Linked DNA regions of Caenorhabditis elegans. The protein of the gene in region 3 interacts with the protein of the main gene of each other region in a pairwise test. Each region holds a gene or a part of one and is shown on either strand. Other genes may lie near its edges.

Region 1 (2,945 bases), on a different chromosome or scaffold from region 3:
GAGTTGCTTTGATGGGTTCCAGTAATAATCAAATAATACTCGTTGAATTAGCGTCCGACTTACTGGAGATCATAGAATTCATTTGATTTTCACAGAAATCACTTGAAGATTTATGTTTAATATTGTGACATCGAATCGAATATTTCCTAGACCTATAGTATCGAACTGTTATATCAAACCACAATCAGAACTAATTTAGACAAGTTGATTATGTGTCCAATATTGCATCTATTGGAACAATAGGATTTATGAAAGTTAACAATAAATGTTGAATGCATAAATAGACAAATCAAGTAAAATTATTCTAAAGGTAATTTTCAAACATTTCCACGTGCCACTGACACTCAAACCAACCAATAGTTGTTGGAGTATTTCTTAAAATTTTTGAAAAGAACATTGAACAGTTTTAACATTTATTTGGCAATTCAAACAGCAAGAAAAAACATGGTATATTAAATTGATTAGTAGTACAAAAGGTATACAAAAGCTTACATATTAACTCAATATGGTCTTGGATATCCTGGATACTGTCCGGGTGGAGGTGGAGGATATTGCCCTGTTGGTGGTGGTGGGTACATACCGGCTGGCGTGGCTCCGGTTCCAATTTGATATGGCTGCTGTTGTGGATAGCCTGGTGTGCTTGAGTATCCTGGGTTGCTTGGATACATGTTAGTTTGATAGGGTTGCTGTGGAAGTGGAGGTGGTTGTTGGTTGTACGCCGAGTATCCTTGGGTTGGGAGTGGTGGGGCTTGTTGGACATATCCACTAGGATTCACTCCAGCACCGATTCCCATAGGTGGTGGGGGTGCATATGTGGCTCCGTAAGGTCTTGGTGGCGGTGGAGCATATCCAACTCCGGCGCCAACTGGTGGTGGAGGGGCTCCATATGGAAGAGGCATAATTGGAGTAACACCGAAGCCAACTGGGGAACGATAAGAACCGTCACTAGAGGAAGAACTTGAGGAGGAAGAACTGCACGTGCGACGGCCGTACATCTGAAGAAAAAGTGTAAGTTGAGGGGTTTAAAAGGGAAAAAAATCAAACAGAAAGGTTGAAAAACGATCGATTGTGAGTTGTTAGTTTGCGATCCGCCTATTGCCTCAAAAACGAGAAGGTTTCACAATGTGATACGGTTATCAGTTTGCATTGTCAGAAGAAGTTTCTCGTTTTTCCATAGAGAAGAGCAAACAATGACGTATATGGAAACGAATGAACAAAAAAGAAACGAGGGCGTTTTCAGTGTATATTTTGAAACTTTCTTTGCAATCCATGAGTCATGAGGATAGATCATGGACATGACCTTCTGGATGATTCAATGGGAAGGAAGATTACATTCATTTGAATTTATAATAGGAATAATATCGAAATGTCAAACTGGAATGCCAATCAAATACAAACGTCAAAAAAATTATCAGGAAGAATGGAAAAGATCAGGGCAATATTTTAAAATTCAAAACTTTTTCTTGAATTAAGCCAGTCTGCTCTCCGTCGGTCTTGTTGTAAGTTAAATCCAAGCTTCGCTCGACTTTTCAGGAAAGACTGGCTGTAGTCTGGAGGTAAGAAATGCTGACCTTAAGTTTGACCGCGACAACCATCCAGACTGAGCCATCCGGACAACTTTCAACCCTATTGGGTCTGTAAGTTTCTTTTACAATTTTAACAGACTTTTGAAACTCAATTACGATTTAATTTTGTTTTTCAACTTCAATGAATTTTATTGTGTATTAGTTCTTGAATCCGTGTAATTTTAATAACTATTTCAGTCCGTTTTGCAAACCAGAAAGGCCGATCAATACACTTCCTAGCTAAGATTTTCTGCGCCTATGCATTTCGCACCTGTTCTATTCCGAACATGTTTGCGGATCAGTTCTCTGACCACCTAGTGTCTTCACATGATTTTGACATTGGAAACATGTGGCCGAATGGTCTAGTGGTATGATTCTCGCTTTGGGTGCGAGAGGTCCCGGGTTCAATCCCCGGTTCGGCCCATTCCTTTTACTCTTTTAAGCATTTTCAGCATGTAACTTTGAAAACTTGTATTTTGATCGAATCGTGAGACACATTCAGTAAAATTATGGGGAATTGTAAGAAAAGGCTTTGAATATTTTTTTATGTATTATTAATGTATTTGATCGCGGAATACATTCATATTTACATCATCTTCTACGAGTTTAACAATTTGTGAAAATTATAATAATTATGAAAAGTAATTTGAATTATATTAAAACAATTTCTCACGATTAGCAATTTTGATTGTTAGAAATCCTATTCCTAACCAAAACTTTCGAAAAAGTCATACTCTGCATTTTCAAGGTCAATGCTTACTGCGTTCAGAGTTTTCTTGTTTAGTAGAGACGCAGATAGACTTGTTTATTGGTTTGTGACTAGTCGACCACACGCAGAGCGCTATTCACGAGAGCGTGCATGTGTAGGAAGAGGCGTTCACGACGAGACGTGGCCGGATGGTCTAGTGGTATGATTCTCGCTTAGGGTGCGAGAGGTCCCGGGATCGATCCCCGGTCCGGCCCACTTACTTTTTTCCTTGTAGCGAATGGTTATATGCTTTTGATGTATTATGCATATGGTTATTTCAGGAAAACTACAATACATATCAGCTCGAAACGTGGCCGGATGGTCTAGTGGTATGATTCTCGCTTAGGGTGCGAGAGGTCCCGGGATCGATCCCCGGTTCGGCCCGCTTAATTTTTTGATGTATTTTGTTAAGTGTTTTTATGATTGTTTGGAATTATAAAAATTTAGTTGATATTTGCGAATCTGAATAAAAAATCAATACAATTTTAATAATCATTTTTGAATCTCTCATGACAAACTTTATAGAAAACAATTCTCTATTTACAAAACCGGAAAAGCAACACAAGGTATAAAAAATGAACACTTAAATATTAAAATAGCATAATGAATTAAACCCGAGATAACATGTAACA
Region 2 (4,845 bases), on a different chromosome or scaffold from region 3:
TATTGATTTCAACGTACACAAGGGAAGATCAATAAACCACGATTATAAAATCTTGCGAAGACAATCATTTTAAACTTCTACGAGTTTTGAAGTCTTCCAACTTGCACAAAATGGGTGCAAAATCATCAAAAAAGGCGAAAATCTCGCCACCAGCGGATCGATATTATACAAAAGTCGATATTGAATCTGGTCCCGCCGTTGTTGCAAAGTCTCAAGATTTCATATTGGAAGTGCCGGTCATTCCAGAAACATGCGAAGAATCGATTCCCGATTCAAGAATCTCTCGTGATGTCTCCGAAGTCTCACGTGTGTCTTCTGGAAGTGAGGTGGATGTTACCGGAAGTGGCGTTGACGATGAACATCTTGATATACAATCCAGTGATGATAGTGTTGAGTCGATATTTGATCCATTGTTATATCTTGCCAATCAGGGAATTGATGTAACTCATTCCAATATAAGGGAACTTGTATGCTCGGAAAACTATCGAGAATTTTTGAAACAGCGTAAAACCATGCTTACACCAAAGGAACTTTTCGAACTCGAACATGGAAGAATTCCTGGGAATTATGGTAAATCAAAACCAAAAGAAGAGATTTTGAAGGAAATTGATGAACTTGAATGTAAAGCTGATGATTTATTAACTGATTTGAGTGATGATGAAAATGGATGGCCAAAGTATGATATGAATGCTCTTCTTGAAAAATATGAAAATCACAAAGACTCGGAGCCCAATTTATTGATTCCAACAAAGGAGGATTATGAAAGAGATAGTGAGTTTCAGTTTATTTCATCGCAAGTATCGTTATTTTATTTCAGAAAAAACCTGCTGTCAGCAAGTTCTGAATAGCTACGAGTTTGACATGGTAGAGTCTTCAATCAATGGTCATGGGTTGGAATTCGAATGTCTGGTAAGTGAAATTATAATTAATAAATGCACTATAACTCTTTCAGGGCCCTGACGCAACTCGAACACAAGATTTTTGGACTCAGTGCCATAAAGATCGCATCAGCTTGATTACAATGTTTGGAAAGTTTTTGGAGAAACGAGGGGCCAACTGTAAGCAATATATTCCTGACGATAAACAAGAGATTCTCAAATGTGGACAGATAATTGTACGACGATTGACAGATCCAGAATATCCATATCGACATTGCAAAATTCAAAAGTTTGCAGTAAGATGCAAACTAGTGTAAGTTAATGTGTTCAGATTACTAATACTGATTTGATTTTAACTTTTAGACCAGAAAATTATGGTTGGTATGTTGTTTGGCACTGTCAACGAGATATTCAAGAATATCCATCAAAAGATTATACAAAAGAAGATGAAGAGTTTGAGAATCTTCGAAAAGATCTTTTGAATGATATGGTAAGCTTTTATCAAAAAATAAATAATAAATCTTATATTTTTAAAGCCAACTCAACACTGGCTTTTTCATGGTCCAATGCAGTTCAGTCCTCTCCGGGATAGACTTGTGGAGCGTAATTCATATCTCATTGAAAAGAAAGGATCCAGTGTTCCAGATTTCGTGACACAACCTATTCAGGCGGCCAACGCTAGGTTTGATTTCGATACCGTGAAATGAAAATCGAACATTCTTTATAGAAAGGCTCTCTACGAAAAATCTTGCTATTTGGGTTTCCTGACCTCTTCATCATCTCAGATCTCACTGTCTGGATGCCAATCAAGACAAATTGGCGGAGCTGACGAAGTTGAAAATCTCGTTAAACTGGAAACCGAGGAATTTGATCTACAGAAATCGCTCGGCTCATATCCAATTCAATCTCAAAACCGTCTGAATAATGTCATTCAAATTTATGCCAACAGTCCAGATCCAGAACAGACACAAGACTTTTGGCAAATGATTCTACATAAAGGAATTCCAACAATTCACACTATATCTGATTTAGACCCGGGTAAAATTTTAAACCTCAGATTTCAAAAAAAAATTAAATTTCAGAAGAAACTGCAAACTGTGCTTCCTATTTTCCCTACGGCAGTGAAAGTGAGAAATCATGCGGAATTTATACTGTTAAACGACTCGGAATTGAGACTCAATTATCGATGAACCTGAAGAAACAGCAACTTCTGATTTTCAAGATGGGAGAGTCTGAGTATCAAAATGTTGTTAATGTAACTCATTTCCACGAAATCGTCAAGAATCAGGTTACTGATTCGAAAGTTAGAAACATCGAAATAATCAATGAGCATGTATCACGTCAGGTTTGAATGATTCATTTATTTGAATTTATAACCATATCCTTTTTAGTCAAATCCTCAACTTCTGATTCATGGTCCCTAAGAAAACAACGCAAAGAGTTAATATTGAATACGGTATTCTAGATTTTTATGGAATTTTAATAAAGTGATATGGCTTTATTATTTTTGAACTGAAAGCATTGACCTTAAAAAAGAATAAGAGGGAGAATTGAAAATGTGAACAAACTCCAAACTTGCAAGTAAATACATCGAAGTGATGGTGAAAGGAGGAGAACATAATTACATACTTTGTCGGTATTTCTCTGACGGTCTCTCCAGTGAAGTCTGCACTATTTCGTTATTGCCCGATATTAACACCCGTGGTTACCCACATTCATCGATGTTAAAAAGTAGAGGAAAGAAGAATTCAATGGGAACTGGTTCAGATTTAAGAGATTACTGTAGGATTATAAAGCTCCGAACAAAGTAGGTAAAGGGGAAGAGGACCGAAAATAAAAACAATAAAAGGTAACATTTGTAAAAGGAAATTGAAGGATGGCCTTATGAATGCACCTTATGAATGCACCAATTTTCCGGTACATTGCTTGCATGATGGAATAATAGAATTGTCCGAGACACGAGAATAAAATTGGTGAAAGGATATTGGAAGAACTTTTCTCAAGTTAATGGTTTTCTACTTATTTACAGTTAAATACAAATTTTTAAAAGAAATAACAGCTTACCTGACAGCTCCTAGCACTTGAAGAATCGATTGGGTGGCGTGAAGACAGGAATACGGCTGGAAATTAAACATTTAAAACTGGAGTCATTTTTGAATTAATAAAAATCTATAAAGATAAAGTGAGCTAAGAAGCATAAGGTGTTTTATTTGCGAATAAACAAATGAGAAGAAACCGAATCGGCTGGATGGCAAGTTACGTAACACCTAGGCAGTCGGCATACACTTTCATTTTTCAAATGTATTGCAATGAGAAGGTCATCGTTGGAATGCGGCACTAAAAGAAATAAGAGGCAAGAATATTGAAAGCATACTTTCAATGAATGAATATTTTCCAATGGCAAGGTTTTTTAAATTTCAGTATTTTTCAAATAACTGACTGAAATTGTCCACATTGACAGAAATTATTTTGAATGTGATATCACTTGTTGCTTCGATTTGAGAAGCTCAGATTGTTTGGAAAAATAAGTTCATCGATATTTATAAGCTACCTCGTGTAAAAATGAAAATCTTCTCTTACTGGGGTGAGAGTTGCACCTCAAAAATATGAATAATTCTTGGAAAAATTGACACGAAAGTATTTTGGATAGGGTATTGGAAGGGTAAAGAGTATTAAGAAAATTTATTGGAAAAATTGAAAGTTTAGAATTGCTCAATCTGAATTAAGATTATATTAGAGAAAGAAAACGAGATGTGGGTTTTCCAGAAATTCGAGGAATAACAAGAGAATTTGGCAAATCCGCGAATCGAATTAAATATTAATTAGGGTTCGCATTTTCAGATTTTCAGAAATATTTTGAGCGAAAAGATTCATGCTAAATGTATTTTCGATGTAAAACACAAGTTTTCTGGAAAAGTGCTCGTAAAAGCTGGCTTCCCTATCGTATCGGTATAAATATATGTCAACTTTACATATTTCAAATTTATTGTAAAGTTCAATAAATTTTTCCAAAAGTAATGTCTCACTGCACGGTAGAGGGAATGAAGAAAACTATGAGTCCTCTACCACCACTAAATATGAATTAATACATGCCGCGTGCAGATTTAATTATAGTCATCATCTTCATACACCCTTTCTTTTAGTATTCGAACGAGAAGCAAAGGAAGAAGGAATAAGCTTAAATGAGTGAGAAGTGGACGAAGAGAAAGAGTGAAAGACATGATGATGAGCTCAGGAAAACTTATATGACGATAGATTACGGATTAGAGAGATTTAGACGGACAGAATGACAGGCGGATCAGTTGTAACGATGCCAGGTGACCTCTTATTCTTCTTTGCCCACTTTTCCGCACCAGTTGTTGCTATTTGAGGCCATCGGGAAGCACTAAAGGACCCCGACTTTGTCTCAATTGATTGGCTCTAAATGTCGGATTTCCGTCAAGAATTTGAAAAAATGGACGCCGCAAAAAACCTTTCTAGAAAATATCATTAATTGCAAAGACTTGATGAGAAGATAATCTCTTCGGTAACTAACTATGTTCAATATGGAAAACAATCCGAATGTAATTAGAGAATAAACACTTATCCATTCGATGAGCAGCTCAATATAGAACACACGCGAATAAAAATTGGAAAATCACTGGAAAGCCATCACTGACAACATGTGTGCGCGCGTATTTTCTTCTTTTTCCATCATCCGTCTCCGTTCAATCAACACTATCTTTTCGGGGTTCCCATGATTCGTTTTATGAGGAAAAAATGAAAGCGGAAGGCAAGAAAATGGTGAAAGGAAACAGAACGATATAATTTCTAGTGACAGGTATCTGGAGAGATGTTGAGTTGATCATCTAGTTGAGTTAAATTTGTGAAAATGATTAACTTGAATGGGAACTCGAGATGTTTTTGATATTTATTCGTCGGATTATCACAAGTTTCTGCATAACTGCGGATCTATTTTGTGGACTGG
Region 3 (4,875 bases):
TGGAGTTTGTACAGGTATTTATCGAATTTTGGAACATAAAATTCAAAAATAATGACCGAAATGCCACATTTATTCTGACAATATTTGAATCAAAAAACACTCACGGCACAATATCCAATCCAGCAAAAAATTGTGCAACATGATGGTCAGAAGCCTGCCATGGTAATCCACGGGCTCTACATACAACATTGTCTCCGTCGGCGCCGACTTCTTGATCTTCCAGAATCGGTGCAGGCTGGTATTCGATATTCACAAATTGATGGGTTTTCTCGAGAAGTTCTGAAAATAAACATGATCTTATTTAATTTGTAATATATTCCGATGGATTTCAATTTTCATTCCCAAATTGATCCCTTTCTATTTCCCGTCAATATCCTTATCTCATCAATTTCCTACGTAGGTATACTACATATGAACTGTTCGAAAACCGAATTTTTAACCACAAAAAATTGCCAAAACTTCCTCGTTTTTTCACTTGTCCTTCCTATTTCTCTTCATATTTTACCATAGAAACGGACCGTCTCTTCCACATGTTTGCCCTCCTTTGTGCGCGCGGTGAGCCATAGAGCCATCATCCATTCGGACACCTTGACTGGTACGCACTGTTTACATTCTATGGAAAAATATATCACAAGAGACCCGAATGGTGATTGAGAGAAAGTGTGGGAAGGTGAGAAGTAGAGAAAACAAGATGATCAGGAGAACCTTTAATGTAAAATACATACATAGGAACATTTGAATTTTGCCAACATCTATCAATTTATTTGGACATCATTAATATTTTAAGAAAAACTTGAAATTTTGTTCAAATGCCCCTGATCCCTACTAGCCATGTTGCATCGAACATTCTTCGCAAAATCTTATTTTGTCTTGAAACAATAATTTATGTGTAAAGTCACAGAATCCCATACCGAGTCATTATCCCAAGATCACCCACTTGTATTTTTTCCCATTCAATATCTCACACAATAGAAAACCCCATTCCAAAAAGAAAATGGTGAAGGCAAAAGAAGAGACAAACACGGGCGGTGTGGCCCTTGAAAGGACACCAAAAAGGTGACAGGTCCTTCCCGCTTTGAAACCATTCATCACAGCAGTAGGGCATTCTTTTACCACCATATCTATCTTATCCAGAATCATCGAAGCAAGTAATCAAACTACAAACGATGGATATAGGAATGCAACTCAAAAATAACATCAATTACTTGAATTAATAATAGTCAAATAATTTTCAATGTAAGAGCAATCATTGCTGTATGTGATTTAATGTCATAATTTTTTTCTAAATTAGTGGCTCTGAACACTTCAAATTTTAATAGGTTTTCGCCTAAATCGATTTTATGAAACACATACCGTCATCCATATCCAAAATGGCCCTGGCAATTGCTACGTCATCTTCAATTTCTTCTTGTTCCATACCATCTTCTTCTTGATTACCGTAATACAAATGTTTGATATCATAATAATGATGAAGTGGATGTGGAACACAAAGTTCGTTTCTCGCGAACAATGGTATGAGCACATGTCTGATTGGTTCTGGACCTTTTGTGAATATATATGATGAGGTTGGATGCTCGTCGAAAAATTTGACGACATCTTCAGGAGTTATATTTACAAGACGAGTTGATATTTCAGATCCGGATGAGGAGGCCGATGATGGTGATGTGCTATTATTATTGGCATCCTCCTGACGGCGTGGGTAGAATGAGGTGACGACTAGTTTTGTGTTCTCATCGTAGTTTCCGTCAGATACTCGTATGAGTAGTAGTCGTTGTTCTGAAGTTATCATGTTGCAGGTAGGAATTTTTTAAAGAATTTATTTTTGAAAAACTTTGTATATTTAATTTTTTAAAAATCTAGAAAATTGAAATAATAGTCTGGCAAAACATATTGAACGGTATCTGAAACTTGAATAATAAAATTAAAATTTTAGAAAATTGCGGATTCCTAAAATGTTTCCAGTTCAATTCAAATAAGATTTCAAATTTTCCTCGATTTTAATTAAGCTTCTCCTCCGCCATGGTCACCTCGGCGCCCATTGTGCCACGTCATTTTCAAAACAAAAGGAGCAGTTTCGATAGAATTACGTAAACAAACAAAATTGGGTTGACCTGTGTAGTATAAACACTTCGTGTCTCGATTGTGGGAGACATTGTGAGAAACAAGACACCCCCGACTGTCACACAGTGCTTCCGGGATTGATGAGCTTGACCTACTAATTTATTACAGAGTTTCAATAAAAGTGAAATCGAGATGGGGTGTCAGACTCATTATTTGAAGAGGAAAATAAATTAAATTATTTGATGTTTCATTTTTTAATTTAAGAATAGATAAAGAGTTTTCGAAAATGCACAAACAATTGAAAAAGCATTGTACTTATCCAATTAACTTGATAGTTTGAGGTTTTTTGTACTGGAAATTTGTTTTTGGAGGTTTCAAAAATTATCCATGAAAAACTTGAAAATCATACTCATTTCTGTAACAAAAAAGCAAGCAGCTAATTTTCTAGTCCCTCGAAATTTAAAAATTTGCTGTTTTATTTTTTAGAACTTCAAAATTAGAATCATCTAAGCTCATGTTCTACTTCTACATTCAGAACATTCAAAATCCAAATTAATTTATCTCTGAATGTCGTATCAATAGTTGGTATTTTCATTCCTGTTAACCTATCGTACTAGTATCTCATACGATAAAGATGATAAAGATAGTATATTTCAATGCCAAATTTTTTGGCAACTTGGGAATGAGGTGAGATTGGAACTTCGGACAACTGTTGTGCTGGTTTTCAATTTAAGATATTTAAATATTAATTTAAATAAAAAAACAACTTGCCTGGATGAGACGTTTGCCGATTCATCAATGTAGGGAATCGTCAGTGCGTCCTTGGGTACATACGCAAACCAACGGGGTTGGTGAGGCTGCTGACCGTCGAGACGTCGACCCGCCACCCGCGCAGCAGCCGACAATGAGACCGCCCCTTTTGCGACGAACTCACTTTTTCGAACACTGCAAGAATTGAGAGAATGAATATATCGAGAATGTGTGGAAAATGATGGAGAACATTCGGATGAAGAAAAAAAACTTATGAAAATGAAATCGAGATATAGTTAGGGCTGCTAGTTGTACCGACTTGGAAGCCTTTGACTGGTTTGACTCAAAGCTTTTCCTAAGGATTTTCCAAACTTTTGATTGATAGTCAGACAACATCAAAAACACAAGGTTCTAATCATTTTGAAAAAAACAACAAAAAAAACATTAAGTTTTATAGACACAAGCAGCGAATAACACAAGCCGTAAATGTGGACCCATTTTTACTTCAGAAAATTTAGAATTCCACGAATTTTTACTACCGTATTCCTATCATTAGCTTCAGTATGGCAAAATTCTAACGAAAACTGGTTCATTACTTTTTTCAAATGTTTCTGAGAATTATTTTTGGAAATTGTGAAATAAGTTATTCTGTGGGTTGTCAAAGAAACGGGGAGTACAACTTATAAAGGAAATACGGTAGCTTTAACATTTTTTATGTTTTAGACATCCAATTTAAAATTACTCAGGGTCAATCAAAAGAAGTAGTTTTTGGGATAGCGATCACGGTACTTTATTTTAACTTTCAATGCCCAAAAATTTCCAAAACTTTAACATTGAGATCTTTTTTCAAGTTCATTTTGATCGACGGAATCCAATGAGCTATGTTTTTCGATACAATTCTCAAAACCCAACAAATGTTCGCTATCCAACACATATCTAGCTGTCAACAAGAACCCGCAAAAACCCAAATACCACTTCGAATTAAGATTAAGATAGGGATGTTTAGAGGTGAAGGTTAAATGTAGATGGGCAATAGAAGACGTGTTTACCGGCGTGAGGTAAAACTGAGAAAATACGCATGCAAAGAAATATATTCGATAGAAAGAGAGAATATGGGGGAAACTATTTGATATTTGCTCAAATGATTAACCTTCTAATCTCGTTCACTCCAAATTCTTTGCACTTTGTTTTTGTGACAAAATTGTGAGAAGCTCAGCTGATAAGCTGAGAAGCTGTCACATGATTTTGAAAACCGATTCCTAGAAAAAAGTGAAGCTGTAATTGAAATTTTTAACGATATCAGATTTTGAGGACAACTGATAAATTGATCGTCAAAATCATTTACTACATTACAATTACATTTTTAGAATTCAATTTTTAAAGGTTTTACTTGAATCACTTCTCTAAAAATAAAACTTCTTAGTTTCCCTCCGAATTTCAGCAAAAACCTCTAATCCAGAACCCACGTGTTCCACTTCGACTTCCTTCTGTTTTGGTTTCTTTGTCATCTAAGTCTCTTCTCAAATCTTGTTTCCATCACCACCCGCTCAGAAAATGACCTCATTTTTCGAGGACGTGACGGAAGGGAAGATCAGAGACCTTCAGAAGACAATCTAAACTTGTGAAATACTATGAACGTCGAAGAGATTTGAGACTGTGTTTGGAAGTGAGAAGACGATGAAAAAAGATGATGACGGAAAAACCGCTGAATGGTAACTGGGTAATTGGGATTGAAACAGTTTTTTTTTCTCGTCTAATTTGACAATTAATTAGGAAATGAGAACATTTTTTTCAGAACACAGACAACTTTGGAAGACAAACTTCTAGTAAGTCCTTATACAAACGTGTCTAGTGGTGCTCTGAGAAAAGAAAAGGCCTGAAAGACGAAAAATTCATAAAATCCCAAACTAAACGTATTGAGAGCAACTGCTTCAGAGCAAGAACGTGGAATTCGTTTGGATTGCACAATATACCTTAGACGAGTAACCCATGAGTTCCAACATTATTTGGAACTTCTTGACTGTCTCTTTTTTGCTTCAAAAAATATAATTTATAAATACAAAA

Evidence for each region. The genes of interacting proteins can lie anywhere in the genome.
Region 1: the proteins of sym-2 (region 3) and C16B8.3 interact in a two-hybrid assay, tested with the Caenorhabditis elegans proteins (one large-scale study listed by BioGRID).
Region 2: the proteins of sym-2 (region 3) and asd-2 interact in a two-hybrid assay, tested with the Caenorhabditis elegans proteins (one large-scale study listed by BioGRID).

What each region holds. Positions count from the first base shown.
Region 1 is NC_003284.9:3,967,640-3,970,584, forward strand, and holds C16B8.3 (Annexin A7), read right to left. Parts: upstream 996-2,945; coding exon 501-995; downstream 1-500.
Region 2 is NC_003279.8:6,889,144-6,893,988, forward strand, and holds the start of asd-2 (K Homology domain-containing protein), read right to left. Parts: upstream 3,001-4,845; 5' UTR 2,943-3,000; intron 2,380-2,942; exon of another isoform or gene 2,303-2,379; coding exon of another isoform or gene 2,270-2,302; intron 2,224-2,269; coding exon of another isoform or gene 1,961-2,223; intron 1,917-1,960; coding exon of another isoform or gene 1,606-1,916; intron 1,561-1,605; coding exon of another isoform or gene 1,415-1,560; intron 1,369-1,414; coding exon of another isoform or gene 1,242-1,368; intron 1,192-1,241; coding exon of another isoform or gene 953-1,191; intron 910-952; coding exon of another isoform or gene 818-909; intron 772-817; coding exon of another isoform or gene 111-771; exon of another isoform or gene 59-110; intron 1-58. Other genes in the region: C48B6.4 (Tyrosine-protein phosphatase domain-containing protein), read left to right, coding at 111-771, 818-909, 953-1,191, 1,242-1,368, 1,415-1,560, 1,606-1,916, 1,961-2,223, 2,270-2,302. UniProt on the Caenorhabditis elegans protein: RNA-binding protein that binds to the 5'-NACUAAY-N(1,20)-UAAY-3' consensus sequence in pre-mRNA introns to promote alternative splicing.
Region 3 is NC_003280.10:9,185,475-9,190,349, forward strand, and holds the start of sym-2 (RNA-binding protein sym-2), read right to left. Parts: upstream 2,858-4,875; coding exon 2,833-2,857; intron 1,777-2,832; coding exon 1,354-1,776; intron 280-1,353; coding exon 105-279; intron 1-104. Other genes in the region: twk-4 (Potassium channel domain-containing protein), read right to left, coding at 1,746-1,776, 2,833-3,006.